3 linked regions of the Caenorhabditis elegans genome follow. The protein of the gene in region 3 purifies or fractionates together with the protein of the main gene of each other region. This does not show direct contact. Each region holds a gene or a part of one and is shown on either strand. Other genes may lie near its edges.

Region 1 (10,752 bases), 900 kb from region 3:
TTTTTTGCTAGAATTTTTCATTGAAAAATGTCAGGGAAAGATTACTAGACACGCAATTATGAAAACCTGGCAACACACAGTGATTCAAAACTTAGAGTAATTATGAGTAGTGCTCCTCACAAGACATATGTACAAAAGATGATGCATTTTATGAAAAAGTGTTTTAATGGTTGCAGAAAACAGAAAATGTAGAAAAACAAGGACTTTCCCGGTGGGAAATTTTGAATTGGCAAATACTGGGAATTATAAATGGTAAACAGCTCATAAAAAGGGTAATGGTTTTTGCAATATCAAATATTGGTTCCGCATAAAAAAATAGGTGAAAATATAATTATCTAACAATTGGAAAATCGGAAATCATTTTACGGAAAGCTAAGGTTGATGTTTTTTTTAAAATAACCACAATAATCTTCTCAAATTTAAAATTAAATTTTGTAAAAGTTGGAAATTCCGTTATTTGCATTCATTCATGCGTCATGAAAAGTTTTTAAAAATTAGGAAAATGTTTTTGTAAGAAATACTCAAGGTTTAAGATGTGAGTTTCCAAAAAAAATTGAAAAACTTGAAACCGTTTGAAAATCTGCTCTCAAAAACTGATTCAGATTTATGGTAACAGCATCAAGTGTGCGAAACAGCAAAACTACACGTTTTTGCTATAATTTGTTATGAAATAAAATTCAGACACACTTTGCTAGACATGACGAGCAATTGAGAAAATGTGGCATCACATGAGGTATAATTCAGGGATTCGAAGTTGGGCGTAATTATGAGTTGAGATCACCGCACGACACATGTGCTGAAAAATGTACTCGATTTTTCGAAGTTTAAGGTTTTTGTGATTACAGTCAAATATCAATACCGACGCATCAGGAAGAACAAGTAGTTTTTACTTTTTTTAGCCATATACTTTGGCTCATCATCAGACTTGGTCAGCAACCACAAAATTCTGTTCAATTGGAATATATGGTGACATAATTTAAATCTCTCAACAAGTTTCACTCAATTTTAATCTTAAATCGGATGTTTTCATTTTGAAAACAAATCTAAATTTCCAAATCTAAGGCTTATAAATTTAAAAGTTTCACATCTACTCAGGACCCATTTCTTGCCTAGGATCCTACCACGAAACCTCTTGGCCACTGTATCAAAATTATTAAAATATTGTTTTTAAATTATTTTTTTCTGTCTTTTTATTCGTCCCATGATTATACATAATATGAAAACCGAAGTTCGAAAAGTATTTTTTTCTTTACAATTGCTTCCTTTTCTATAATTCTTCTAACTCTTGGCTGTCTAGACATACATTGCAAAATTAAAGAATATTATGTATTACTGAAAAATGTTGATTTTGTTGTAGTTTTATTGAAATTCAAAAAAGACTGAACTACAGTAACTAATGGGGAAGGATAAGAAAACGGCAGAAAAAGAATGACAATAAAAATTACAACGGTGTTCCAGGATCTTCCAGCTCGTCCTCCACAAACTCTGTAATCGAGTCAGGGTTGTGCTTCAGTGCGTCCCTGTATGTCCTTTTGAAGTGAAAGATGATCTGCTCGGCCTGCATAATCTGGAAGTCCACCTTGACTTGCGCGTCTTCAAAGTTCGGATTGAAGTGCATGCCGAGACGTTGGATTGCGATTTTCAGATCCGCAAGCAGCAAGTAGGCATCTCGTGCCAGATTCTTCCGGTACTCCACGAAGCTGTCAAGGTTCCATGCCGATTCGCGGAAGAAGTGCTCGTACACTCGTCCCATTTCGTCGACGGTCAAGCGGCAGTTCTAAATATAATTAAATTTTTCATGTAAAATAGAGGTTAAGGAATTTGATCATATTGATACATTCCCGGGATCTGGCTCTAGCTTCTTGTCCAAGTTTGACCCAAAAAATATTAACTTGGATTAGAAGTTGGCTAAACTTGGGCAATAGTTGGGCATGACTTTGGCGCGCCAGAATGAATGATTTTGACAGTTACGCAACCCGTCTGATTTCCCTTAATCCCTTCCGAAATACCACTCACCATAACCTTATCAGCCAGTGGATCATCTTTTGTGTAGGCCTGGAAAATGTCTTCAAGGCCTTTGTCAAGCTCTTGAGAAGTCTCCAAAATCTTGTTGAGCGTCGCCTCATAACGATCCGCATAGATCTGAACATCCAGTTGCATTGCACGCCTTCCGGCTGGACACTGAAATTATTGAAGGTTTTTTTCAAAATTAAATTGTGAAAGATCTCACCTCAACGAGCTCACAACGAGCATCATAGAGTCGCTGAAACTCTTTCTTATCCAAATCCTCAGTCATCAACCGCGGTGCCTGTGGGAGTAGATAATAGTCGACTTGGGATCGTGCAGCCCGACGTTCGTATCTTCCTGGGGAATACCGGATAAATGCATCATGACACTGCGACTCCGGCTGAGGAATATTCGGAAACTCCTGTGACGCCATGATTCGGCGATGAACGGCAAGGCATTGTCCCATGATGGTGGGGAGGAAGTAAGAATGAATGGGGGAAATTGTCGAGATGGTCTGGGGCTGCTAATTGTTTTTTGTCTTTTTATATTTTTTGACCAATTTTTCTCAGAATTCATACATATTTTCGATAACAAGGAATACTGTAAATTAGGAAAAGGGGAAGCAATAAAAATTCGTAAAATTATAACAAAAGTGGAGTGAGACACAGAAATTTGGAAAGGGAAGTGGATTTAAATTGCTGTGGGAACAGTCTGAATTCTCCTTAAAATTTAATTTACCGGATTATGAAGAAATTTCCCAAATTCCAGTAGGCAAGCACGTTTCCTCCTACTGTATTCTTGCCTGCCTACAAGCTTGCCTACTGCCTAGGCATCTGAATTTTTGCAAACAATTAAAGGATCGGAAATAATTTTGCAAGTCTATAGGCACGTTTTGTAGGCAGGAATCAGGTGTAGGTCTCCTTACAAGGCAGATGTGAATTTTTACGAAGCAGATCGGGTCTCACTACAAAACGTGTCGGTTACTGTAGCTAGCAAGTTTTCTGAATCTTAAATTTGATCTGATAGTGAGCAGATAAAAAACGTTAGTGGGAAATGTGGTCTCACTTTGAAGATCAAGTTTCAAATTGAAATTTCGAATAAGATTGAAAAAATCTACCATAACCATTAGTTTTCATGGCGAGACCTCTCATGAATCATGATTACATTTCGAAGATTTTGGTATGCTGATTTGAAATTTGTAAATTTTGAATCAAACATTTTTTATTAACAAATAAAAACTTCAAAGTGAAAAATTCAAAACGTCCACAAATTAAATTTGACATCCAGATTCATATTCTTCTTATTAATTTTCCACTTAACAATTTTTTTTTCTTCCAAATGATCCAAAGCCCACACTAACGGCGTGAAGCAGCAGCTCTCATATCACGCAATGCTTTCGGAGCCTTATGAAGATTGGCGACTAGAGCCAAATATGGAAGACGGGGTGGTCTTGGGGCTGGTACCCGGATCTTTCTGGCTCTGGGGACTTTTGGCCCTTGTGCTTCAGAGCCTTGATGTGGTTTTTCCTTGATGCTTCTCAAAGCTTCCAACTTTTTTTGAATCTTCAGTGCTTTTCTCTCCAGTTTCTTATCTTTTTTGGCTCGTTTCTGCTCCTCTCGACTTCGTTTTAAGGTCAGTTGAAGTTCGAGTTTCTCCAATTTTTCCAGCTTTCTTTCCGGAGTGTTTTCCTTGGAGCGTACCCTTTTCTGGTGTTTCCCAACATTTCCCAGCTTGGATCTCAGTCGTTTCTTTCCACCCATGTTATTCTTCGGGGCTCTTTTCTTCCCAACTTTCACGTCATCTTTTTCTGAAATTTGCGAATCTCATTCGAGTATGTAATATAATCTGCCAAACGTAAACTAGACTTATCACATAGATTTATTACGATAATTTGCTCGTCAAATCTGTTGTTTATAAAGTTTTCGCGTCAAATTTGCGTATTTGCTATACCGTTCAGTGAACTAAAATTTTCCGAACACTACAATCGACGCTCAACACTAAAAGTCAAATGTAATTCCTTACTAACCTTGCGTACTCATAGCATCTCCCAAATCCTCCTCCGGCTCCACCTGTGGCTCCTCCACCTTATTTCTCTTAAGCTTTCCCACTGTAAATTTGAGCATTTTCAAATTTTTCTCGACTTTAAAAACTTACACAACTTCTTGCCCATTGGCATTTTCAGTTCAAAGCAATTGATTTTAGCAGTACAAGTAACCACTGAAATTGCAGGCACTGAGGAGGGTTTTTGTATCAATTTCTTATCAAAGAGTTTTTATCATCAATAATGTTTATAAGTGTGGAATTCTGAAATAGTGATGTTGACTATGAGTAAGGTAGTATTAAAATTGAAAATGTCATGTGAAATGGGAATGTTGACAGGAAAGATTATTGGAAAGTATGGGGAAATCGTGAGACCCAGAGGGAAAAGATGGGTGACGGGATTGCGAAATCAAAGTGTTGAAATTTTTAACTACAAAATTCACTAGAAATATGCTTAACAAATATTACACCCAAAGCATTTCAGCATTTCGAAAATTTTAACTTAGGCAATGTTTTAAATTTTTTAATATTCGAAATTTTCATTAACATTTGATTTTTTCAGACTACTGCCAGGTACAGCAACCCTCGGTTTTTACTGTGTGACCAATTTTTATCGATGACATAAAGTTATGGTATATTTATATTCAAATTTAAGTTTTTAAGTTTTCTGATTTTTAATCTTATGAATTACTATACAATTCAAGATTTAAAACATCTAACAGCTCATCGTCGTCGTTCAACATCTCCCCAACTCAAATTCAAATCTAGAAAAAGTGCTTTTGTTCCTTACAAAAACCGCCAAAAGGAATGAGTAACAGATTGTCATATCACTATCCCATCACATTGCCGCCGGAAATTGGCAAATAGAAAAGGACGACGGGTATTTGAATTCAAACTGGAAAACATTTTTGTAGTTGGAAGAGTCGAATAGTTTTGGCAAAGTTAATGCAAATCTACCTAAAAACCTAAAAGAGATGTTATAATAATTGTGTATTTGTAAAAATCATGGAAGCCGACACTTTACTGATCATATTTAACTTTAAAAAAATCCTTTTTCTCACATTTTGTTGCCTGAAAACTTGAAATATTTTAGGAGTGAAGAAATTTGGAAAAAATCAATTACCGGTAATTACCCCCTATGTTCCAAAAACATTTAAAATCCTCTTTCCCCCATTCCTAATCCATCTATTCATCATCATCTCATCAATTGTTTATGCACCTGTTCAGGAAGTGCACATAACATCTAATTGTCCAAAAAGAGTACACAAACCGGTAGAAAAATCGCAGTTGAAGAGCCAGTAATCTGTCAGTAATCTGATTGGAATTCGAGTGAACAAATAAAAACAGGTGTATTGGAAATGTTCAAGTAATTTTAAATATCACAGAAACGTAATTAGACAACATTTTCTGCTGATTGATGGGTTGATATTTTAAACCTACACAATCAAAATTCGTATTTTTATTTTCAAACGAGTAAATTCAAATGCTCATGCTGTGAAAGTCGTCTGAGAGCTTGCTGTAGCAAATCACAGAACATCCTTTGGCAATATCTTCATCTTTCCGTTCAGGTGGCGCCAAGTCATTCATCAAAGATTTCAGTTCGGCTTTTTGAATCGAAAACTGAAACACACGGATTGTTAAGTCTAAGGATATTCAACTAACGTTTGCTCCAGCTCTCTCAATACATCCCAAAATATCCAAACGTTGGAACAATGTGTACTGCCATGGATGCTCACGGAGCAGTTCAGTTGCAGTTGTCGCCGCCTTTTCATTCAAACGAACATCATCAAAATCGAGAAGAGCTGGAAAATGCTGTACTATTCCTAAGGAGACGAGAAGATACGTTTGATGCTCATCTGCAGTTGCCAATAGATTTCCAATAATCCACAGACATTCCTGAAATAACCATAGATAATTTCTAAGCTCGAAAATAAATTTTGTTTCAAAAGATGTGTTCAAAGCTAACTACAGTATTGTCTCTATTGTACTTGCACCCTCATTAATTCACTTTGACGGCTCATATCTTGACTGTCTCAAGTGTTATCAAACAATTTCACTATCAAAACGTAGAAAAACATTTTGCACGTATTTCTTCAGTTGACAATTTTTTGATAAAACGGAAGTGAATCGAGATATATGCCCTGTCAATGTAAAACAATGGTGGTGCATGTCTAATAAATAAAATACTGTTCATATAATTTTATATCAGCTTACCTTTCTCAAGCGTTTGTCTCCAGTATGAATCCCAGCCATCACCCATTCATAGAAAGCATCTGGATCATCCATTACTGAAAACATAGATCCTATTCAGTAATCAAATAAATATAAAACTAACTGTAATCCACGTGTCTTGGAGCACCGGCAACAACGTTTGATATGATCCATGCGGCTTCACTGTGATGCTCCGGAGATGACATTGCAATATTCTGAAAAAATATTTTTAATTTTCAATTTTGATGTCAAAAACGTACCATAACAACTCTAAACTTGGGATTATCAACCAACAGATCAGTCTGAACATCATTCCCGACTGCAATATTTCCAATAAGGCGGAGGCATGAAACATTGCATGACTTGTCCGTTTGATCAATAAATTTTTCGAGAATATGCTCAACAACGTAGTTTTGGGAAAGAAGCATGTCGATCTGAAAGTTTTAGTAAAGAACTTTGATTAACAATAATCCGAAAACAAACCCGTGTGGTATCTAGTGAGTTGTCAACCAAATTGGCAAGAGTCCATAAAATCATTGAACCACATCCCATATTATCGACAGCGTCTGTGTCGAGTAAAATTGCAGACAAAGCACAAATAAGTGAACGAGCTACTGGTGATGGCATCGTTGTTCGGCCACCGGAAAAAATATTATTGACACACCAAATGAGTTGGCGTCGGTCTGCATCGTCGAGTTTATACGACGTTTGTAAGTTTCTGGCGAGTATCTGAAGTTGGAATTTATTTAGACATGGTAGACAGGCATGCTTTCAAAGGCCAGACGCTTGCCTGAAGCGCCTGCCTAAAGCGCCTAAATGCAGCCGTAACAGTTGTTTTCATTTGTGCTGTGGATGGATTCTAAAATGTCCTACAAACCCTTATAATTACCTTCAAAAGTTTAGGTGATCTACATTTCAATTTGCACGAAGAACAATCAGCTGCAATATTTGCAATTGCCCAAACAGTTTGACTTGAGAGACGAGCGTTTTGAGACCGAACGAGTTTGATCAAGATATCTAGACAATTCTGAAAAAAAAACAATTTTCCTAAAAATCAATTTTCAGACTGACCGAGTTTACAAACAAGTGAGTAACTTCCTGGCTAATACAACACATATTAGTGATAATCCAAACAGCGTTAACCTCACTGTCAATGTCTAACGTTTGATTACGAAGAGCATTGAGAACGCCATTCTTCTAAAAAAAAGAGTTTGAATTAATTGAAACAATTTCGTCGGAACTAACAATTCTTCCATAAAACTGCTCCTTCAGAGCGATGTTCGATAAATCTGACTGATTGGCAAAAGCTTTACGAAAAAAGTGTAGAGCTGTGGACAGTTGAATACGGCATGAGGATTCGAGCATTGAGATGATAAAGGAAATGTCAAATGTTGCTGATTGTTCAGGTTGGGAATTCTGTATAAAAATTGAAGTATAGATAGAAAGTTGCCGTCCGAGTGAGGCTAACAAGTCGGACGTTATGCTTTTTTTTGGCTTTCCTTTCTGCGTATCAGATTTTTTTGAATTTCATTATAGCGAGCCAACACTGTGTATTTTGAGATGGAAGTGCAATTGTGCTCCAATGTCAAATGAAAACGGTCCCATCCATAATAAGAAATCGAGATCACAGTTTAACATACATAACGACCACCAAATTATGGTTTTCAATTTGCGTTGGAGCGCGAGTGCAACTCAACTACAAAAAATTCAGGTTTTGCCCCGCCAAAAAAATCATTCTTGGTAAACCATTGCAGCATAAAAAAAGAGAAACATCCGATTTGCCAGCCGTCTGATTCTGATATACTCTTACCATTTCCTGCTTCGCTTTCTTTGTAGATTTAACCATATTCTCCGCGAGTGTAAAACAGAAATAAAGTTATATTGATTTCATTGGAAGTTCCACGTGTTTGTTTGCACGTATGAGAAAATCCGAATGGAATATCGCGTGGAAGAATTGCAGTGATTTTGAGTGAATTTTTTAAAATTTAATTATCTAATACACTTCTTATTAAAATATATTTGAACTTTCTTATAGTTAGTGTAAGCAGAAATCCCTGCAAAGAGAATTTGTGAATTTTCAATTTTCCCACTTTACACAACATGTTCCAAATCTAATGCCCGTTCATAACCTAGGTCACTAGGTTTTAGCACTTAGCAGACAACAAGTGTGAATCTTCCCTATTCTTAGTTTAAATTTCTCTTCTTCTCTTCCCACGATTCTCCGGGATCAAGTGTGACTTTCCCTCGATCTACCAACAAGTATCTAGAACGATGCCAACTTAATACATAAATAACATACGCCAAATTGTGTGTTCCTCTCGGTTCCATCTATAGATACCTATCTCCTGTGAAGCTGTCAATTAATCGAGGAAAATTTGGCAAGATAGAACGTGGAGCGATGAAACGCAGACAGTAGAATTTGTGAATTTTTAGAGGTCGAATGTGTGTTCACACAAGTTCTTGAAAAAAGATTTTATCTTGAGCAAGGGGAAATTAGAATGTCACACATGCGAGATTTAAACATTTTTGAATTAAAATCGATCCTGTGAAACATGGGCTGCAATGAAATGGAGCCCGAATTTGAGTCCTTCCACCGAAAATGGAAAGTCTTCTTTTCGCATACATTTGTTAACGAACGACATATTTATAAGCATTAATCTGAGTCAAATATCAGTTATCCATGTGACGTCTCTTATGTAATGCCGCTCGCCAAACTTTAGCGATACAGCTGAAAAGAAGAACCATGGTTGTAGTTCTAATTTAACAGCAATTTAAGCATCTAGTCTTCTTATTTCATTACTTATTAATTACTATATAATTCCTCATAAATCTTCATAATATTTCTAGCACACCCGTGTTCCCATCTTGTCCAACTTCTCCCCAACTCAAATTTAAATCTAGAATAAAGTGCAATTGTTCTCTACAAAAACCGCCAAAGGGAATGAGTAACAGATTGTCATATCACTATCCCATCAAATTGCCGCCGGAAATTGGAAAATAGAAATGGACGACGGATAGGGTATTTGAATTTGAATTTGAACAAAATACGGGGTTCAAAAATGTCAAACGTCAGATACAGAATCTGTTGCGTAATTCCAACAATGAAAATGATGAAAATTTTCACCTGGGAGAATGTTGCAAGCACTTATTACTGAATTCTGATTATGACTTTTAGACCGTGATTCAAAGTCAAACTTTGAAACTGGTTAAATTTTGTATTTTTTGTAAAAAACAGTTCGTGATTTATTGTGTTATTTAGTTTCAAAATTTTAAATACTAATTTTGAACCATGTTGAATTTATTCCCCCTTTTTTCTTATTTTTTTCTAACAAAAAACATGTATACAAATTTCCTTCCAATCTATAATAACCTCTTTTCACCTTTACAACATGTACACTTCCTGTCAATGGTCTAAAATTGATCCCACGTGGTGATGGGTGTGATGTACCAACGATGGATTGACGGAAGTCTGGTGATATCGAATAAGGCAGGTGTGCACTTGAACCACTAAATTTATTTTTTTGGTATTTCTAAATTTAATTCTCAAGATCTATAGGTTTATACAAATCTATCTATGGTTTTTACAGAGCGGAACACGCTAATATGGTTGGTACCGTTGTAGATATTTTCAGGTAGACCGAGGGAAATTCACACTTGATCCCGGAGAATTGTGGGAAGAGAAATTTGAAAAGATTCACACTTGTTGTTTGTAATGTGCTAAGACTATGGTGACCTGGTTTTGAACGGAAATTGGATTTGGGACATGTTGTGTAGGGTGGGAAAATTTGTAGATTTTTTGATACGTGTGAACCCCGCAAAAATTTGATTAAAAACCCGGTGTTGCATAGTTCAAAAAAATGAAGGTTGAAAGCCAGAATATTTTATATCAGCCGTGGACCGCACCTCCGGCGCGGCCCCCGACTTCTGGGGCTGAAAACTAATTTTTCTGAAACTACCGTAACCCTACAGTATTCCTACCGTACCACTATTGTACCACTACAGTACCCCGACTATATCCCTACACTAACCCCAACTCACTATCCCCACAGAAGCCAAAACTTCACAGACTACAAAGACTACATAGACTACAAACTATGGACACACAGAATAAGCGCTTTATATATAGTAAATGATATGTTCCAGATTTGAACTATCCTGAGTTAAGGTATTTTATTTGGGTGTAATCGAAGAAACTTCTAACATTAATAATTTTTCAAGTCAATGTTTGAAATCTGGTATGTTGGGATCATTTCTTTACTGTTCCAGCTAGAAAACTTTTTTTGCGATTTGATATTTTCAAATCACGAAATCAATTGCTTACTGCACATTTTTTTTTCCTTGACGAGATGCAATCTTTTTTTTAAGTAAAGCTTACATTAGGGTCGGTCAACAAGTCGTACTTTCCCTATATTAGAAAAAATTTGGGTCCCGTTACGAAAACTGAGTCATAGCGAATATGGTTATTTCTCTATAAACTAAACATCATCTTTTTTA
Region 2 (10,262 bases), on a different chromosome or scaffold from region 3:
GTCGTAAAAATTTTTTCCACGTAGATGTAAGCATCCAAAGTGAATTCGATTTACATACATAGGAGTTCTACTATACCTTAGGTTTTTGACTGAAACTGTGTTCTGAACATCCAAACTGAAAAAAAACAACCAAAATTGCATTTTTCTATAAGATCCAACCAAAATCTGAAAAGTTTTCAAAAAAAATTTTTCGAAAAAAATTTTGAAAATTTTTGTAAGGGGGGACCCTTTGGATTTTTTTCTGAAAAAATTGAAAAAATTTTTTTTTCAAAAATTTTCAAATATTCATGAGATATTGTAGAAATCACTTACTTGGTTGTTTCTATACATTTTCTTGCCAAAAAAGGTGTTTTCTATAAGTCAAACCGGCATTCCTTGGGGCTCTGAACAATAAAACCTCCTGTCTTAAAACGGATGTATCCAATTCTAGAGACGAGGTATCAAAAAGCCTTCAACTACAACCATGTTAAGCTTGAAGCAATAAACGCTTTCATAGTTGTAGGCATCTTTTCATCTTTGTCCAGAACTGAGATATTGTTGAGCACAGATCTAGCATATTATGGTTGTCTTGGAGCTCACATCTCCGCAGCCACTAAAGATAACTAGAAAGTACCCACTAACAGAATGTTTTTCATATTGTTGCCAACAACTTTTCAATTGTCTACATTTTATTAATTCAAACACCAACAGAGTTATAAGTCTTAGAAAGTAAGACGTCTATACGCTCAGTCAACTCTAATTTGGTTAATTGTTTAGCTAAAAATGCAATATGAATGCCCAAACTTGTAAGAACTACCAAAATTGTGTTTTCTATAAAGTTAAACACTTTTTGAAAAAATTCCAAAACAATTTTTTTTTTCAATATTTTTTCAAACATAAGAGGGAAAATTTTAGAGCTGAAGATTCAGATCATAAAAGAGGACCCTTGTGATCCTTTGGAGCTGAAGATTCAGTTCATGAGTGGGACCCTTGTGATCCTTTGGAGCTGAAGATTCAGTTCATAAGGGGGGACCCTTATGATATTTTGGAGTCTTATCAGTGTTTTTATAATTTGAAAAAAAACCGGAATTTTTTTGAGAATTTATTTTTAAAAAATTAAAAAAATTTTCTTGTTAAAAATTGTCTTTAAAATTTGCAAATACAGTGTGAAACTATCACTTTCCGTATAAAAAAAATTGGAAGAAAGAAAAAACTAAATTTGAATGCGCTCGCAGAAGGTGTTCAACAGAGCGCGTTTGCTTTTCGAGCCTTTCGGGCGCATTAATTTGAAGTCTGTCTTTATTAGCCGAATTTCTGATAGAAGTTGCGATTTCTGTCCTATTTCTAATATTTTCAGCAATTTTTCACAAACTTCTCGCATTATCTTTAAAGGTCGGCTATTTTTAGCAACTTTTTTAAATAAAAAATATGATAATGTATGTTTTCTTTTTTTAAACGAATTTTTGATGCCTTCATTGTTTGTCGTGATTTTACTATTTTCTTCATGTCGCTCACGAAATGTTCGCCAAAACTCTGAAAGTATAAACAATTTATCCGCGTTTTCTTTCGATAATTGTCTGAATAGAGAATCTGTGACCTCAATTTTACCTTTTCGATATAAATAGGGTTTCATTTGCTGGAAACATTCCGATATTCATGAATTCCTTCAGAGAAGTTCAGTTCGACCATAGCCTCAAGAAATGAGATAATGAATAATTGATTCAGAGATAGTTTTTATCAATTTTCGACTGTGACTGAATGACTAGAAAAATTATCACGTGAGGTTGAAAGACAATTTTAAGTACATGTTTTGATAATGGCTCAGGCCGTAGCTAGAGCTTTTAAGGAACAATGGAAATACAACTTCTTGTAGGAGTTCGATGTGTTATCAGCGTTTCATTTTTTAAGCTTCAACAGATTTTTCCGCATCGATGAAACTGTAAGAAAAATTGTCGTCTTTCCCCGTGACTCTTTGCTTTGAGAAATCCGCTTAACACATGGTTCCAATTATCAATTTATATGCAAAGTTAAAACAATATTTTAAAAAAATAGTGTAAGCCTTACGAGGAGATGCAAACGGCAGCAATTTTAGCCGTTAGCCGCTTTTCTCGATTAGCCGAATTAGCCGTTAGTCTAAAATTTCGAAACACGGCTTAAACCGAATTTGCCGTTAGCCGAAAAAAACAGTTAGCCGTCCACCCCTGCTCCAAATGTGAAAATGTATCTTTCGCCGATTCCAAAAGTTAGAGAAACTTTATGTTTCCTCGACGATTTTTGACCATTCATCAGCTGCTGTTTAATCTGGCATTTTTGAGATTTTCCTCAAGTTTCTCATAAAAATCCTCACTTTCCACAAAACCCAGAATTTTCAGCATTTTTTTTCAATTTTTCTTGAAAATTGTCAGAGAGGAAATTTGTAACCAAGAATCTGCTCTTTTTCTGAATCACGAAAAAAAATTCAAGTTTTCTCATTTCTCTGAAATGATTCGCTTTGCTCCTTAACTGCAATGGAGTGGTTGATTCGAATCAAGTTGAAAAAACATAAATTTTAGTATCCGATAACATCGCGAAATAATAAGAAGGAGAACAGCTTCAAACAATATCAAGCAACATCAGATGTAGAACAATGAAGGACCAAAATGGAGTAGCAAGCACTGATGACTCTGTTTTACCTTCTTGGAGTAACCCAGACGTCGGACAATTCATTGTGTCGACGTACAATGAGTACGAATACAAACGGATCCCATTTCGTGAACTGGAATTCGGATGTCTTCTATGCAGGATGAGAACATTCAATCACGAAGGAATGAAAAAACACTTGAGGGATCACGTAGTCCACAAAAAATCTTCATGTGAGCACGAAAAACCAGGTAATTCGCATTTTGTGTGAAATGTACACTCAAAATGAAAAACTGCGTGGCACGTACTGCAGAAAACATAATATTTAGGCCCCGCCTTTTTCTCGTCCACTCACGGAGAAAAGGCAAAAATCGGAACCCAACCAATATCAGGCCGCCGACATCTCACGGGTACCGCGCGCCGCTGCGTTTAACTCGCTGTGGGCGTGGCAAGTTGTCTCCGTGAGATGTCGGCGGCCTGATATTGGTTGGAATCCCGATTTTTGCCTTTTCTCCGTGAGTGGACGAGAAAAATGCGGGGCCTAACTAAATATTAGGTTTTCTGCAGTACACGCCACGCAGTTTTTTGTTATTTGGAGTGTAGAAGATATATAAATTACAAAAACTTTTCTTATTTTTCAATCAGAAATCTTCTATTTATTTTTAGGTAAAACTGGAATTCATCATCAAGTTGACAAAGCTGGAAATGGTGTAATGCCAGAGAATGGGCAACTTGTTCAGTGCTACATCGAAATTAAGCTTGCGGATTGCTACACATCTTGGTCCAATTACGAGAGCCAAAATCCGATTATCTTTAAAATTGGATTCGGTGAAGTCATTCCTGGTTTAGATATCGGAATCCCTAAGGTATGTACATTTTTATTGATTTTTTGCAGAACTCAATTTTTATAAATAAAAATTCAATGTTCTTTCAGATGAAAGTCGGTGAAATCGCAACATTTCACGTGAGTGGCAAATATGGTTACGGCCGCGCTGGGTTCAGAGGACTGATTCCTCGAAACGCTTCCCTAACTTGCAAAGTTAGGCTGTTCAATTGCTCATGGGACTCATATGGTAGATTTCTCCTTATTTTTGAGTTATAAATCTTAATATTCCCTCTTTTTCAGCAAAAATTGGCGTCGATAGACAGATTCTCGTCCAGGGCGACAACGTCACCAAGTCAAAGAACGGTCAGACCGTCACCTGCCACTACGTGCTCATCCTTGTGGACGGAACGAAGATCGACTCTTCTCGCGACCGCGAAACTCCATTCAAGTTCAAGATTGGAAAGGGAGAGGTCATCAAGGGATGGGACCAAGGAGTCGCCCAGGTTTGTACATCGATTAGCTCAATTTCAATATAAAAATTCAATTTTCTTTCAGATGTCAGTCAAAGAGAAGTCGAAGCTCACGATTGCTCCGGCTTTTGGCTTTGAAAAAGGCAAATTGCCAGCAGGAATCCCAGCGTAAAATAAAACGAATTGGATACATGCTGCGTACTTTATGAACTACCGTAGCCAGGAGAAAAATGTTTAAAATCAAAACTATGGTATTAATTTTTGTTCACTTGTTGTTGACACGATTGCCATAAATTTCAATTTTTAATTAAAATGCTTTGAAATTTTATTAATTTCCTTGTTTTTTTATTTATTTCTATCGAGAGAACTCATTTTCAACGATTTCCGAGAAAGAACAAATTTCTCTGAAGAGACGCAGACACTTACCTTAAAGGCGCATGCAATTTCGCGGCAGCGATATCTCGCCACGAACAGTGTCGCGCCTTGTTCGATTTTACTCTCGCCTCGTAAACAACCCATTTTTGCTTGTTTTTCACCGATTTTTGGTCATTTTTCAGAGTTTCTTATCGAAAAAATCATGTCAGACGCCCACTTTTCAATGACAAATAGTTGTTCTTCGAAAATTCAGTGTTATTTTGGCCTAAAATCGGCTAAAACTCTGGTCATCAGATTTTTGTTTACTTTGCCGGTTTTTTCCTGTTTTAGGCCATTCTTCTGGAGTTTTCTATCAAGAAAATCAGTAAATCAACTGAAAATCAGAAAAGCAACCTTATTTTCGAGGCAGAATTATCGATTTTTGAAAAATAATTGTTATTTTGGCCTAAAAACAACTTGAACTCGCCCTTGAACAATTTCTTCCTTTTCTTTGCCATTTTCTCTTTATTTCTGAGTTATAAATCTTAATATTTCCTCTTTTAGCAAGAATGGGCGTCGACAGACAGATTCTCGTCGAGGGCGACAACGTCACCAAGCCAAAGAACGGTCAGACCGTCACCTGCCACTACGTGCTCACCCTTGAGAACGGAAAGAAGATCGACTCTTCTCGCGACCGCGGAACTCCATTCAAGTTCAAGATTGGAAAGGGAGAGGTCATCAAGGGATGGGACCAAGGAGTCGCCCAGGTTTGTCCATCGATTAGCTCAATTTCAATATAAAAAATCAACTTTTCTTTCAGATGTCAGTTGGTGAGAAGTCGAAGCTCACCATCTCTGCCGATCTTGGCTATGGACCACGCGGAGTTCCACCACAAATCCCAGCCAACGCAACTCTCGTCTTCGAGGTCGAGCTTCTCGGAGTCAACTAAGCTGCCCGTCTCCGTTTGCAGCTCCGTTTTAGCAGCTGCCGTGTGCAACCTCTCCATAAATGATATCAATTTTTTTTAATGATTCCAAGTTTTCTTTCTTTTTCCCCCCTTAATTTTCTCTGTAAACTAAATATTTCTTCCTATCTAAGTAGCATAAATTATTTAATCTTTAAAAACAAAATGGTTTTTCTCTGTGCGTGTTGACGTGGCGTTTGTGTGTCCTTGAAGTCGAAATCTCCGATTACCTTGCCAATTTTACTCTTTTATTCTTTTCTTTTTCACTTTTTTGCCTCACAATTCATTCGTAATTGTGTGCGCGGGCGATCCTTGCGTAGCGCCCGTCTTTCTCAGAAGACCATCTGTTCTCCATTTTCGAAACAATTCAGGCCTCCTGTTCATTAGAAATACACAAGACGAGAGGCGGAAGACGCCTCCCCTTCGATGATTCATAGTTATTTTTATCATTTCAGATTCCTCCGCCCAGTGGGATGGTTTAAAAATCATTGAAATTCGCCATTTTTACACATCTTTTCTTGAAAAATCTCCTCTTTTTTGTCTCCAAAATTGATTTTTCAGTTTTTCCGACGTTTTTCCACTAGAAATTGGCAAAAGCCAGCGAAAATTGAGCAGAATTTAGCTAAGAGTACGGTAGTCGCCTAAGTACGCAGAGTTGCGTACGATGCATTCCATTTGACGCGCAAAATTTTCTGATCGCGAAAAAAGATTTTTGACCTCAATTTTTTGATCTGCCCGCCAATTTTCGTCGTGTTTTTCGAGAACTGGTCGAAGAGGATGACAATTTCTTCATTTTTCCACTTTTTTGGCCGGTTTTGTGACGTTTTTACCGATTTTCCGCAGGTTTTTCACAAAATTCTCGCGTTTTCTCCCAAAATTGATATTTCCAGCAGTTTTTTCCGCGTTTTGTCTCGGTTATTGCCAGAATATATTTTCCTCATTCTCTAGCAAATATTCGCTAATTTTCCTGATTTCCACCCTATTTTCTTCCGGAAAGTTCAGTTCGTTCCATTCTTGCTTTAAAACTGTAAGGAAGGAGCGGAAATAGGTGATTCAGAAAGAGTTTTTTATCAATTTTCGGCATCCGATAACGTCGTGAATCGAGAAAAATAAAAAAGCTATAAAAATTATCACATAGCGTAAGATTTCGACTAGAAAACTCTCAATTTTCCTATTTTTTTTGATGAAATTTCAGCTCACAGTGAGTGTTTTGTAGAAAAATGTAAAATTTTCCCCATTTTCCCCATTTTCCGCTTTCTGGAGTTTATTCGTTCGATTTACTGACAAAATCTTCGGGTTTTCTGCAATATTTATAGAAAAATCCGGCCAATGCTACGAAATTTCTGTTTTTCGCGGCTCTTTTGACTATTTCGTGACTTTTTTGGGGCTTCGATCATCAAAATTTCGAATATTTTTATGATTTTTGAGCATTTTGATGTATTTTTTTTCTTCTAAATGACTTTCAGATCTCCTTGGCAGAAAAAACTGCGAATATTATAACAACTTGAAGCTTCCTCGACGATTTTTGGCGACCTGCTGTTCCATGTGACTCACCATTCCAATTTCGCAATCCACTGGTCATTCTCGGCATTAAGATCCATTTTCAGCGCTCAATTTCGCAATTTTCAAAGCTAGAAAGCTTTGTTCAAATTGAATTGTTTCGCAACTCGTCTTCTATCGCCTTTTGGTTCTCTTTCTCCTCCGTCGTCTTCGCTGTGTTCTCTTCAAAATGATTCATCATTGGCTTTGGTTGTGTCTCTGGGTCTGTGTGTTCAATATAAATTGCAACTGCATTTGACATTAGTATGGATTGAGGCGGGTTATTTCACCCTCTTTTAGTAGTACACACACATTCAATTTGATGGGCGGTCTCTGTCTCTCTTTTCGTCCTTTATGGGTGAATAACTGACCAGCGGAGCAAGCAGGCAGGAGCAGGAGCACAAGCTCGTTGTTCGGGTTGAAAAGGGGAAGAAGGAGAGCACCAGATGGCATGCAAACATTCTCTTTCTCTTCTTCTCTCTATTGCTTTTCCTCACTGTCATTCACTGCTTCTCCATTTGCCCAGCCAATTAGATGGAGTGTTCCGGGTGGTCAAAGATGTCCTCTAGTTTTCGTAGCAATTTTCATCTTTCGGAATTTGAAATTGGAAGTTTTCTTTAATTTCTCTCAATTTTGGGTCATCTGGCGATTTTATGCCATTTTTCTTGTGAAATTAAATTCTCAGATTGCTCTAGATAGTTCAAATCCTCTAGTAGTTGAAAATTCGCCTCAAAACGTTGCTTTTTTAAAAAGAATTCTCCCTTAAGTTGGTCCTAATTTCTCGAGGCGAGATCTTCCAAAAGCTGAATTTTTCCAAGTTTTCTACATCTGAAACTCGAAATATTTACTATTTTCGTAGTTTTTGGTAGTTTTCGGTGTTTTCGAGCTTCAATTCCGCCTTTTTGGCCTGAAAATGGTCTGAAAATCATCGAAAATTGGTCAACTCTAGGTAAAATGCCAATTTTGGTTTAAATCGGCTCAATTCACAGAAAATTTCCAAGAAATTCATGAAAGAAGCTCAATTTTTGCACTACATTGGCGAGAAAATTGTGAATTTAGTGAGATTTTGTTGGTTTTTGTCATTTTATCCATTCGCAAGTTCTTCGCCACCAACTTACACCACAGATAAGCAAAAAATCTGCGGAAATATCAATTTTTGGGTATTTCGGCATTAAAATTCCATTTTTTGCGCAGTAAATCAAAAAATAATCGATTGTTTACAAAAACCGTAATTTTCAAGCGATTTTATGCTCTTTTTCTCCTAATTTGTGCTCTTTCTTCATATTATCATTTCTCATTACCCCTCCAACCATCTCAATCATAATTTATGTTTATTTTTTCAGTATAATCTCCGCTTCAACCTCCTCCAAAACACAAAAATGTCCGGATGGAATGCCTACATCGACACAATGACTGCCGCTGCTCCATCAATCAAACGGTGTGCAATCGTCGGAGCCGCTGATGGATCTGTCTGGGCTCGTACTGAGGCTGACAATGTGTTCAAGGTATGGAAATGGACGAAAATCATCGAAGAAGCTCGAGAAAAAATCGATTAAAACTGGAAACGATTGAAAAATCCTTAAATTGACCCATTTTTGAGATTGAAAAGAGCTAGCGGGGTCGATTTTTGTTGGAATTTTCGCATTTTGACCCAAAAAACTGAAAATCTCGCGAAATTATTCACTTTTTGAATTGAAAATCGAAATTTTTAGCCGCTGAATTTACATTTTACAGGAATAATTAGCAAATCCACTCAAAAATTGCAAAATTTTCATTATTTTTCGAACAAAATTAAAAAATTCCAGATTAGGCAGGCTTCAGGCGGCCGTGCCTGCCTACCAGCCCCTGTTTCTCATATAGTTTATACTTCTTCGAAACCCAAGTAGGCAGCAGACAGGCTTAGGCTACCTTGAAGGTCAGGCAAGTTACCTGCCTGACTACCTTCGAGGTGGCCTGCCTGATACCTACATTAGAGCCTACTTGTATTTCAGCCGCCTGAAGCCTGCCTACTCTGGAATTTTCTAAACTTTTTTTTTTCAGATTTTTCAATTTCATGAAAATTTAGAGTTAAAAAGCGTTAAAAAAAAAATTAAAATTCGAAGATTTTTTCCTGCAAAATGTAAATTCACAGACTGAAATTTGTGATTTTCCAGTATCTCGGCCAAGAATAAGCCGATTTTTTTGGAAATTTCAGTGTTTTGAGGCCTAAAAATGCGAAAATTGGGGAAAAAGGCTAACTTTAGGGTTACTGGATTTAAAATTTCGAATTTTTGGAAATTTCAAAGCGCAAATTTTTTAACAAGAAATATTTCCTGTCCAAAAACTTCTCTAATTTTTTCCAATTTCCAGGCATCCGAAGAAGAGCTCAAAACCTTCGTTGCCCTATTCAATGACGTCACTCAAGTTCCAGCAAAAGGAGCCGATATCGAAGGAGTTCATTACGTCGTTCCACGTACCGAAGAATCGCTCATCTTCGGAAAAAAGGAGAACACTGGATTCTTCGCTGTGAAGACCAAGTCTGCAGTCTTGATTGCTGTCTACGAGGGACCAAATGAAGTTGCTGCACAAGTTCGCAAGGCTGTCGAGAGTATGCAAACCTATCTCAACAATGCTGGATACTAAATACTTCTCTCTCTATCGATTGTTGTTCGATTCGTATTTATTCCCGCTTTTCTCTATTTTTTTTTTGCAAACTTCCCCCTTCTCCCTTCTCCCAAACCTTGATTTCTACGAGTACAACGATGAAATTCGGTTTTCTTCCGCGTAATCTTTCCCTCAAAACTCCCATTCCCAGAGCAAACACAGAAACAGTTTTTATTTCACTTTCAGCTTTATCATAATGTATTGTATTCCCCCGTTTTGTTTTCTAGTAAATTCATTGCCAATTCAATGCCTTCTCGATTATTTCATTTTCATCTCCCATCGACGGAGAAAGAGAGTGAGAGAAGAGTTTTGTGCTCGGAGCAATTATCGCGTGTTTTTTTCGAAACCACGCCCACACTGCAATTGTGCGGCGCGGTTTTTTGGTCAGAATCATTTTACAGATTTTTATCATCGTTTGCAAAAATCGTTTAGAGAAAAAAAACTCGGAAAAAGATGTCTAGAAAATGAGGGAAAAACAATTAAAAAGTAATCACATTTGTCAAATGAAATTTTCCACAATATCTTACGCGAATGGGTCTCGCTAGGCAGACAACACGGTTACTGTAACTCCTGTCGGTTTACAGTAACCTGTTGCCAGCGTGGCGAGACCCGTGGGAGTGAGATATGGCGGAAATTTTTATTTTTCGGCGTCTTCGTATTATTTTTTATGAGAAAACCCATAAGAGTACGTAAGAAAAAATGGCCGAAAGTTTAAGCTTTTCGAAAATATGGAATTTTTCTATATATCGGAAAATCATAAATTTTCGTCTCAGAAAAGGGTGCCGTTTTTCGATTTTTCAATGTTTTTAGGGAAAATTTTCGATTTTCCGAAAAATTTCATTTTTAGAAAAATCAAAAACCGAAAAAA
Region 3 (11,511 bases):
TTTAGTCTCTATACAATTTGACGAGTCACTCCTTAAGTTTAGCAAATACATCAGCAATTAAAAATTGCACTCAAAACTCAAAGAAAACAATCTTGATGTTTCATCTCCAATCAATGCCTCTGGATCGACGTCAGAAAATCGTTTAAAACGAATTGTGTCCGGGTTTCCGAAATCATATAAAACAATCAAATTGTGAAACAAAAACTCTAGATTCAAAATATGAAGCTCCTCGTCTCAACTCTTATCTTAATCAGTGCAGTCAGTGCCGTCAGAAATGGAATTGATTTCATTCAGCCAGTATCTGTTGCTACATTCACTTGTGTTAAAAATGCAGGATATTCTTTCGTAATTCCAAGAGTTTTTACTTCTGTTGGAACAGTTGATCATACTGGAATTCAGAATGTGGCCAACGCAAGAGCAGGTGATTTTTGAAGAGACATTTGAATTACAGTACCATTTGATAGTTGGGTAACACATTTTAATCATAATAGAAACATTATCTGTCAAAAATGCAAAACTATTATGCAAAACTATTGTTAACGCCAAGCCAAGAGCCTATTAGATTACGGTCAGCGAGTTCAAATGAGGCTTCAAATGGTAACGTGAGAATTCGAAAGTTTTAAAATTAGTGAAATCAAAAGTATGAAGATAACTTCCGGGTATACTGTTTAAATTTTCAAAGAGGCTTAATGGTTACTGTAGACTCCCAGTGTAGCTAGAAGTTGTTTGATTTTTAAAACACTGTTGCAGCTGGCCTCACTGATGTCGATGGATACATCTTCCCTTGCCTAAAATCGACTTGCGCATCTGCTGCTAACCAAGTTAAGGCGTCTCTTGATGCAGTTAAGGCTGCTGGAACTAAGATCTCCACTCTATGGCTTGATATTGAACGTCTCAATTGGCCAGCTGATCATGCTAGCAACCGTGCATTCATTGAAGCAATGGTCAGTGAAGCAAAGGCTTATGGACAACAAGTTGGAATCTACAGTAACTATTACAATTGGCAAGATATTGTTGGATTGGATTATCATGGACAATCTAGTTTGATGCTTTGGTGGGCTGCATACGATGGAGTCAAGGATTTCTCGAAGTTTGCTGCTTTTGGAGGATGGTCATCACCGACAATTCATCAATGGGAAGGAACTACTGCTGGACCATGTGGGGTCTCTGTTGATATGAACTATGTTCCGTAAATAGTCACTCGAAATGTATTCGTGTATTTCAAATAAAGTATTGAAATATTTTTCACATTCCTTTATTTTTATTTTATTCAGAAAAAGTCACAACATGTGGTAGCTGATGGCTGTTCACAGTTATGAATTCTGCGTTTTTTCTAGTTGTTTATAAGTTTTACCATTATTTGTATCTCTAGTATCATTGAGGAAGAAAATTTCCCTATTAAGTACTGATAACTGTGAACAGATTCAAAAAGATAGTTATAACATTAGGTTTATGTTGTTTTGGATTTAATTTCATATAATTTCTAATTGAAGTTGGTCTTTATAATGAAAAAAAGGAAATAAATTATAAGAAATAACGAAGAGGAATATTGAAAACGCCTAGTTTTAAAGTTGGGGGCGGAATGCTTTGAAAAAGAGAATTATGAAACTTACAAAGGTTTAGAAAAAGTATTCGTCAATTTTGTGTTGGCTCAAAATCTCAAATCTCAAAAAAAAAAAACAAATAGAATATTGGACGACCCTCCGAAAGTCAGAATGTAGTATGTACAAAGAAATCTCTCTGTCAGGTTTTACAACCACCGAGTACGTCCACATTGTCACATGTTGTAAACAGCCGATAGAGACAAAGAGAATCCCGAAAGGGAGGCAACGCAGATTGCTCTCTATTATTTTTACAACCATTCAGTGTTTTGAGGATGCATAAGACAAATACCAAACTGCCGAGTATACAACGTCACACTCGGAATAAATAAAGATGATTTATAGAGTCAACCGAAAAAGGGTACATGAGGTGAATACTGGTTCAACCTACCTACAGTCCTGCGTACAGATTTTCTACTCTGGAAACTTTGGCTATATATTTTTGGGTTTTTTATAATTTTAAATCCCGATTCACGAAAGCGTTCTCAGGGCGAGAGCCCGATTCCGCGAAAATGTTCAACGTTTTCCAATTTCCATGTACTCCTTGGCTATAGTGGACCTGTCTGAATTTGTGCTAGACCCAATTAGAAGACAAAGAATATAAGTACAGTAAGTGGAAACTAGAAAATGGTTTGGAAGCCAACATCAGTTGCAAAACCACGTGCAATCAAACAAAACCAAATAATGATAGAGAGAGAAGGAAACATATGATAATTTAGTCTAAAGATAATTTAGATCAAATTCATGTTGGATTGAACATCTTGATTAAGAATTCAGTCGTAGATCTATTCTCAATATTTGTTATTTTATCATTTTAACAATATTTATTAACGAATTGAAATGAAAAAAAAAAGAAACAAAATATTGAGCTCTCTTGAAATTCCTGATTTTATCTTTCCGCTTGCGTCAAAGTCATAAAAGTCTCCGGTATCTGGGAAGTATAAAAGAAGTGTATGGAGTCTGAAATGTCTGGAGAAACATGAAGCATTTTTTCATTACAATCCTTCTTTTCTGCAGTGTTGTAAGTGCAGCTAGAAATGGAATTGATATCAATTCACCAGTATCCACTTCTACTTTTACTTGTATTAAGAATGCTGGATTTTCATTCATAATTCCCAGAATTTATCATTCATCGGGAAGTGTAGATACTGTTGGAGTGCAAAATGTCAAGAATGCCAGAGCTGGTAGGTTTTTTAATGAATTAATATGTATGCTGTGAATCATATTCATTGAATGCCCTATATTTATTTATGAATACATTAGAGACTTACCTTAACTATTAAGGTTACTGTAGGAAAATGCGCAAAATATTATATTCTGAATCTTCGCTTTCTTGGAATTTAGGATGTGGCAGCTTTTTGTGGAAATTTTTTACAGTAGCTTCGTGGCGAGAACCACCATTTGAATAGGACAAACGACAACTGAGATATTAATTGTCAAAGTTGAACAATGGGATGCAAGACTAATAGAGGAAATATTACATATTAAAATTTTCGAGCTAAAAATATTTAAATTATGTCTATAGAAAGGTAACTTCATTTTAATTATAATAGAAACATTATCTGTCAAAAATGCAAAACTATTATGCAAAACTATTGTTAACGCCAAGAGTCGAAACTCCTATTAGATTACGGTCAGTGAGTTCAAATGAGGCTTCAAATGGTAACGTGAGAATTCGAAAGTTTCAAAATTAGTGAAATCAAAAGTATGAAGATAACTTCCGGGTATACTGTTTAAATTTTCAAAGAGGCTTAATGGTTACTGTAGACTCCCAGTGTAGCTAGAAGTTGTTTGATTTTTAAAACACTGTTGCAGCTGGCCTCACTGATGTCGATGGATACATCTTCCCTTGCCTAAAATCGACTTGCGCATCTGCTGCTAACCAAGTTAAGGCGTCTCTTGATGCAGTTAAGGCTGCTGGAACTAAGATCTCCACTCTATGGCTTGATATTGAACGTCTCAATTGGCCAGCTGATCATGCTAGCAACCGTGCATTCATTGAAGCAATGGTCAGTGAAGCAAAGGCTTATGGACAACAAGTTGGAATCTACAGTAACTATTACAATTGGCAAGATATTGTTGGATTGGATTATCATGGACAATCTAGTTTGATGCTTTGGTGGCCTGCATACGATGGAGTCAAGGATTTCTCAAAGTACGCTCCATTCGGAGGATGGTCGAAGCCAACAATTCATCAGTGGTCTGACACCACTACTGGTCCGTGTGGAGTCTCTGTTGATATGAACTACATTCCATAAATAATTTTTTAGCGCTTTAATAATAAAGTGTATATTTCAGTAAACAACATTCGTTCATTATTATGATTTATTCATTCCTTTAATAACGTTTGAGAATTGCTCCGAGCAATTCAAAGTAATCTGAAAAGCATCGAAAATTACTTGAAATTTAATAAGGAAATTCAGTTTTCGATGACTAATTTTTATTTTGAAACTACTAGAAAGTCTATTCCAACTTTTATAATAATTTCTGCAATAATTATTGAGGAATTCCTTAAGGAATGATACAGTACGCAAATGAGGCATGTACGTTATTATCAATTTTTGTGGAGTATTTCGTCAATTGATCACATTTTGATGCCATCGTCGGTAGCAGAAATCACGTGCAATCAAATAATGATAGACGAAGCAAAAAGGTTGATAATGTAGTCTAATGTGCGAAGTTCAAATTGCTAATCGAAAAATAAAACACATTGGGGAGTTGGGTTTTCAGAAAACTCGGTATATTTGAAATCATCTGAAAATCGGCTAATGACTTTTAATACAATTCCCGGTATTTTTTAGGAAGATGTACCGTCAAAGAGAATAAGTCATGAGCTCAAAAGCTTTCTAGGTCACAGCCGACCTGTGATCTGAAGCAGGGAACAAATCAAGAACATAATCACGTTTTCAAGCATCTAACTTTAAGCACCTTATGTTTTCTCAGCTTTTCACGCTTCCAAACAGATTAATTAAGTTATTTTCAATAAACTGTATAAACTTCAAAAAATTTACAGATAAACAATGAATTTCACAATGTTTGGATTGAAAAATTGATAATTTCTTTAGTGTTAATTTAGGCAACGCCAACAAACCACGCACAAGCCTGCTGCCGGGACCATTAGCTTGTAGAAATAATACAGTACTCGGGAGGGTCGAAGGTTTCAATTTTAGTTCTTTTGATCTCATTGTTGCAAATATTGAAAAACGACGAGAGATAACGGTCGAGAAACCCCGAGAAATATTTTCGAAAATGAGACGAAAGTGTAGTTGCTCTCCATATTTTGTTTCATATTTTACATCAGCCTCTGAATAAAACAAAAAAGATAAGAGAAGAGGGTTTATGAAGTTTTTGATTTTATCTTTCCGCTTGCGTCAAAGTCATAAAATTAGAATCTCCGGTATTTGGGAAGTATAAAAGAAGTGTGTGAAGGCTTAATCAGGGGAGTTCAGAGAATCATGAAGTTCTTCGTCTCGGCTTTGCTTTTGATCGGTGCTGCAAGTGCAGCTAGAAATGGAATTGATTTCATTCAACCAGTGTCTACTGCTACATTTCAATGTATTCATAAGGCTGGATATTCTTTCGTAATTCCAAGAGTCTTTACTTCTGTTGGAACTCTTGATCATACTGGAATTCAAAACGTCAAGAATGCTAGAGCAGGTGAGCATTTCAGATGGGTATCAAGGAATGGTTTTTACCATTTTCAAAATAATTTCCATTCTTGGCAATTTGGTTCTCCTTTCCCTCGCGATTCTTCGCCTCACACTTCTAACTTATAGGTCTGTGCATACTTCCTAGTATAAGTTATGAGTATTAAATTTGTAAGAAAATACTTAAACTAACAAAATCTTATCTCTTTTTCTTATTTCTTTTTGTTTGTTTAAAAACTGCCATCAAATAATTCAAATACACATATTCCCAAAAGTCAAGATGTAGTGGTCAATGAAATATCTTTTCGTTACGTTTTACAACCATTCATTGTCCCCTCTGACTGTCTAGTTTACCAGGGCATGCATTGTCACATGATTGTAAACAGAGTATGGAAAAATAATAATATTCAAATATATTTGTCAATAGGTTGAATATAGAATTCAAAATTTAAACTAATCTTGCTCTTTAATATGTTTTACAAGTATACATACAATGCATCTAGTGAGTGAAACAATATATTACCTCTTGAAACTAAAAAATGAAAAAAAAAATTACAGTTTCTTTCTAAGTATTATTGTCCAGAATAGCAGAAAATTCCAATTTAGGTGATGGTTCGACTGAAAATGTAATATGAATGTTCAAACTTGTAGGGACTACCACAATTATGCTTTTCTAAAAAATTAAACATTTTGGAAAAACTTCCAAAAGAAAAGTTTTAGGTGAAAATTTTTTCAACCATAACTAATCATATGATCCTTTTGAGCTGAATATTGAGACCGTAAGGGGGCCCTTATGATCACTTTAAGTTGGAATAATCAGATCATAAGGATGAGCTTTATAGTATTCCAAGTCAATTATAAGCATTGTACGGGTTCGAACATTCAAACTGATAATATTCCAATTTATTAAAACATCTGAAGTTTTCTACAAGTTTCATTCAGTACCAAGCTAATTACAAATTTTGCAGCTGGCCTCACCGATGTCGATGGATACATCTTCCCATGCTTGAGATCTAACTGCCCATCTGCTGCCAATCAAGTTAAGGAAACTCTTGATGCTTTGAAGAGTGCAGGAACTCATGTCTCTACTCTCTGGCTTGACATTGAACGTCTCGCTTGGCCAGCTAATCACGCCAGTAACCGTGCATTCATCGAGGCAATGGTCAGAGAAGCTCAAGCTTACAAGCAACAAGTTGGAATCTACAGTAACTATTACAATTGGCAAGATATTGTTGGATTGGATTATCATGGACAATCTAGTTTGATGCTCTGGTGGGCAACCTATGATGGAATTAAGGATTTCTCAAAGTTCGCACCTTTCGGAGGATGGAGCAGACCAACAATTCATCAATGGGAAGGAACCACTACTGGCCCATGTGGAGTCTCTGTTGATATGAACTATGTTCCATAAATAGCTGACCAAAATGTATAAACATGAATAAACAAATTTTTATATGTAAACCCATACATTTTCGCTAGTTTCAGACGCGCAATTGATTTCTTGATTTTTTGAAACAATTTAAAACTGTAAAACTGACAACAAATGGGTCAGTTTTAGAACATTCGAAAATTATGTTTTATTTTCAATAATTTTTTGTTACTTATTTAAAAAATTTATCATTATTGTTCGGAGACTTTAATTATATTCTCATTCAGAATTGTTTTCTATTTTTTTAAATCTAGACCTGTGAGTTTCAAGTGAGTTTCGGCCAAAATAGTAACATCAAAATGGCTTTACATTTCAAAAAGCAGATACGGTAAAACTTAAATTTTTGTTCTCTTTTCTTTCAAAACTATTATGTTGTTGATCTTCTAGACACGTTGTCAAGTCAAAATGCGTAGTGATGACGTCACTTGGGGTAACCTTGAATTACACAATTGACCTCAATCGAATCAAAATTAAAGTTGACGAGTACAAATATTTAGTCTTGTTTTTTTGTTTCTCCATCTCATTATCAACATTTCAACATGCAACTTCTTGCGATTTCTTTCTTATTTATAACTTTTATTATTGAATCGGTGAGATTTTTTGAACCACTGTAATTTTAAGATTTTATTTTTACAGATAATTTGTTCTGGATATCTAGAATTACATATTCAAAGTCCTCATATACAAACCGCAATTGTGAACATCTCATCAAATTTTCGAACAGAGAAATCAAAAATAGTGCATTTAAAACTTAAATCTAATGTACCATTTAACGTTACAAGGATTCCTGTGAACTTTGATAATATCTACAATATAACCATAAAATGTGGAAAATCAGAGGAAGATGGCAAGTTTAATTCATATTTTAAAAATTCAACTCCAAAGTATTTGGGTCTAACTGACACAACAATTGTCTCAACTGTTCACCCACGTGTTGGGCTGTTATCACCGGCTGCTGTAGCCAGACCTTTAAATGGAATTCGAATCGTTATTGGTTGTAATAAGTAAGCTCGTTTGTCTTGAAATTGGATTAAATGTTTGTCACAAGACAACTTAGAAATCACACGGTACTGTAGAAAAAAAAGTAAATATATCTTGTGAGCATGTTCTAGAAATCTAGGATTTCGTCTGGAAATTTTTTATTTGGAATTTTGTATTCCGTGCAATTTCTATTGATGACAGTGAATTCTGGTTATAGAGCTAACGGAAAAATTGGAATGTTGCTCAAATTCTTTGTTTATACTTGACATACTTGACTACGGTTCTATCATAAATTTCATTGTAAAATCTAGCTTTTGAAGAAAAGTTTGTCAAAATGTCATTTTAGGTCCTACAACATTTCAGTTCATGATTATTACGGCTGAAAGTCTGAAAGTCTAAAAGAGAAAATATACCATTTTTAAATTTTTTTTTGAATCTGTATCATTGTTTTAGAAATTGGTTTGGTGAGAAATGTGAAACTTTTTGTGATGAGAACAAAGCAACCAACTCGGGAAAACACTGCAATTTTCAAGGAAAACCAAGTTGTTTGAATGGATTAACTGGGTCAAAGTGTGAAAAACGTGAGTTGCATATTTTTAAAACTAATCTCTACGTGAGTTTTATAAATTGCAGTCATTGTTCCAAAGTTGTGTAACTGTGAGAATGGTGGAGTTTGCATTGATTCAAATCCAAAACCAATTTGTGAATGTTCGAAAGCCTATCGCGGTGAAAAATGTGAAAAGAAGCATATATCAGCGTCTCTTTCCTCACATTATAAAGGAGACTTTTGGAATTTTCGAATGACATTTTGGCAGTTGATATTCTCGAATTTAGTTGAGAATGAGTTGGCAGAGATTAGCAAATCGGAAGCTTGGGAAACAATTAATAACCTATTGGGAAATGTTTCTGATACTCCGTTTGCAAATCGTCCAAATAATACGGAAACATTCCCAATAACTGGTTCTGTTAATCTTGATAATGTTGATATCATTTAAATTTAAGTTCTATAAAATCATTTGAAGTAAATAAAAACATTCACAGCTTTATTGTGATTCATTGTGACAATTTCATGTATAAAACAACTGAACCATTTATTTATCAAAATATTGTACCATTTTAATAAATTTTCAAGCTCTAACAATTGAAGTTTGCCCTGAACATTAAAAAAATGGAAAGCTGCTGGAACATTTTAAAAGTTGTTGTTTTTCTCTTAGTATTTCCTAATATTTTTTAGATGGTTTCCGATAGTTATGGGAACGTTCTGCTACATTTTTAGTGTTTTTTTTTATTCTGAAAACTCGTAAAAGTAAAACCATAAATTTCATAATTTTTGAGAAGTATCAAAATTTTCTAAATTAACGTCGAAAAGTTGTGTATTTCTCAAAAGGAACTCATCGCGTTTTCCTGGTAACCTCTCTTGTCTTTTCAATAATACGTCTTCCCACATGCAGATTTGCAGGCAACAGTGGTCAACTACTCAAAGGAAAGCGACACCAATCTATATAGTCTCCCCAGAGAGAGAGAGGAGAGAGAGAGAGAGAGAGATCTTCCCAGAAGCCTGGTTGTGTATGTGATTCTATATCGATCGCTATGTGCACACCGAAAACGCCGCGTTTGCAGCCCCCTAGACCGACTCCAATGTTTTCGGTCATTCATTTTTTTGCTTATCCCCCCTTCTTGTGAGTGCGATCCACTCAAATATAAAGGGTTCCTGGCGAGGGCCATCTGATTAGGGTGCTTGCACTAGGCCAATTTGGGGACTCGTGTTCTGTGGATCAGTTAAGGAAAACAACCCTAGGTCTTTTAGCTGGTTTTGCTACAGCTTTCTTTTTTGTCCTGAGTTGATTAGTTTGAAGAAGATTTCCGATCAAAATTTTAACTTTTTAGCTAATTAATTTTTTTTTCAAAAAAAGAAGAGTTGTAACTCTTCTAATCTTTCAAAGTTTTTTAAAGTGCTCTTCTTGTGATTTTTCAAATTTCCATTCTCTTCTCCCCTTATCCTTCTCCCTTATCCCTTCCCTTTTACCCTCTCCCCTTCCCTTTGCAAAATCGATGAATGGATGGATCGACGATGGATGGATCGACGATGGATGGATCGACGATGGATTTTGACAACTGTAATTGGAACAGTAATCTCGATCGAAGGATTTCTCTCTCCTTCTTTTTTCCCATTCCCAATTTCCAATTCTCACATAGATAGAGCACTCTTAGTCTTATAGTCTGAAACTTCTAAGGACAGAAGTTTCTTAGAAATAGTTCTTGTAGTATTCAAAGTTTTCTTTTCCAAACAGAAGTTAGTTAATTTATCTAAACTTCTAAATTCTGTTATTTATATTAAACTTCTACACACAGAAGTTAACTTCTACAAACAGAAGTTCAAATATTACACCTTTTAGACAACTGTCTAAAACGGAAGATCGGAATTGAGGCTTAAGCTTTTCTTATACCGAACTCAGAGGTAGTGAATAAAGGCTAATTGACCAATAGGGAATGCTAGTACTTCTGATCCTAGATGAACAATGTAGAACCGATGTTGTGTCTTATCGGGTGGTTTTTGCTATATGGTTCACTATTGAGTGATATTGTGCAGTCCTAACGGTATAGGACATCACTTGAAGAAGCAACTCCTATTCAAAACTATCGCCACCAACTGCATCAACAACAAGCAACAACAGCACGACGAAGACGGAAAGGAAGAGGACGACGACGAGGAGGTACGTAAGATTTTATTTCTAAATTTTCAAAATTTTTGATTCAAAAATTCGAACTTTAGTTTACAAAAATCAAAGATTCCAAAAAGTGGAATCATTATTTTTTGCCGAAACCGAATTTTTCTTTTTCAATCCTGAAATAAAATTTCTGAAAATTCAGGATTTTTTTCGAAATAAAAGCTCTCACGAGTTCCAAATAGTTTCGGGGAGAATCATTCGGTCGGGGCATTCCGGATTGGCCCCGCCCACAGTTCTGTACCTTGCAAAACGGTTTCAAAAATGAAACATGGATTTTCAAGGCACAGTTCTGTGGGCGGGGCCAATCCGGAATATCCCGACCGAATGACCCCCCCCCCTCCTCCTCCGGCATTCTTTCTTCCCAGGAGTCTTCTTCCCAGGAGGCCAAAGAGGTCTTCTGATGGAGAGGGGGAGAGCTGACCGCGTGCTCTTCTACTTCCCAGGAGCAAACTTTTCGAATAGGCGACGCCGTGTAATGAATTTCCTTCTCAAAACGAATAATTCCGAAATTTATAGAATAATATTTTTGCGAAACTCAAAAATCAACATAAAAATCAAAACTCAGTCAAAATTCGAGCAATAAAGATTCAACAAAAAAACTTGAATCAGCATTTCAAAAAGTCCAGATTATTTCAAAGAATTATTTATTTCCTGCTTTACAAAAATGTGGTTTTTTACAGATTTCATAATGGAACGAACGACGACGGAAGGAAGAAACCGGTGGCGATGGTCTGGAGTTGAATTGGATCGAGATCACACTCACAAGATCTCGAACCACAATGGATCGAGATGGAACGATGGACTCGAATGGAACAATCGGGATCAGCGGACAGGATGGATCGAGATGGCGGATGGACGACGACGACGACGACGACGTCGACGAGGACGACGTCGACGACGAAGGATGGATCGGGATGGATCGGGATGGATCGGGATTGATCTGGATGGCTCGGGATGGATCGAGATGGATCGGGATGGATCGGGATGGATCGAGGTTAATCGAGGTGGATCGGGATGGATCGGGATGGATCGGGATGGATCGGGATGGATCGGGATGGATCGAGGTGGATCGGGATGGATCGGGAGGGATTGGGATGAATCGGGAGAAGGCGACGACGACGACG

What was found.
Region 1: the proteins of lys-4 (region 3) and F53B2.8 fractionate together in Caenorhabditis elegans (co-fractionation; one large-scale study listed by BioGRID). This does not show direct contact.
Region 2: the proteins of lys-4 (region 3) and fkb-2 fractionate together in Caenorhabditis elegans (co-fractionation; one large-scale study listed by BioGRID). This does not show direct contact.

Annotation. Positions count from the first base shown.
Region 1 is NC_003282.8:12,523,037-12,533,788, forward strand, and holds F53B2.8 (Coiled-coil domain-containing protein 86), read right to left. Parts: upstream 4,361-10,752; 5' UTR 4,184-4,360; coding exon 4,162-4,183; intron 4,115-4,161; coding exon 4,034-4,114; intron 3,815-4,033; coding exon 3,363-3,814; 3' UTR 3,195-3,362; downstream 1-3,194. Other genes in the region: Protein eak-4, read right to left, coding at 1,442-1,777, 2,017-2,181, 2,231-2,473; F53B2.5 (Importin subunit alpha), read right to left, coding at 5,527-5,667, 5,710-5,943, 6,262-6,335, 6,383-6,473, 6,519-6,692, 6,742-6,987, 7,148-7,285, 7,330-7,455 and 2 more.
Region 2 is NC_003279.8:12,913,910-12,924,171, forward strand, and holds fkb-2 (peptidylprolyl isomerase), read left to right. Parts: upstream 1-4,812; 5' UTR 4,813-4,817; coding exon 4,818-5,015; intron 5,016-5,068; coding exon 5,069-5,197; 3' UTR 5,198-5,371; downstream 5,372-10,262. Other genes in the region: fkb-8 (peptidylprolyl isomerase), read left to right, coding at 2,606-2,849, 3,265-3,464, 3,533-3,671, 3,725-3,927, 3,980-4,066; pfn-1 (Profilin-1), read left to right, coding at 8,131-8,256, 9,101-9,373.
Region 3 is NC_003282.8:11,616,644-11,628,154, reverse strand, and holds lys-4 (LYSozyme), read left to right. Parts: upstream 1-4,980; 5' UTR 4,981-5,056; coding exon 5,057-5,258; intron 5,259-5,849; exon of another isoform or gene 5,850-5,870; intron 5,871-6,216; coding exon 6,217-6,659; 3' UTR 6,660-6,726; downstream 6,727-11,511. Other genes in the region: lys-6 (LYSozyme), read left to right, coding at 220-421, 751-1,193; lys-5 (Lysozyme-like protein 5), read left to right, coding at 2,581-2,785, 3,417-3,859; dsl-5 (Delta-like protein), read left to right, coding at 7,217-7,267, 7,314-7,681, 8,112-8,239, 8,292-8,653.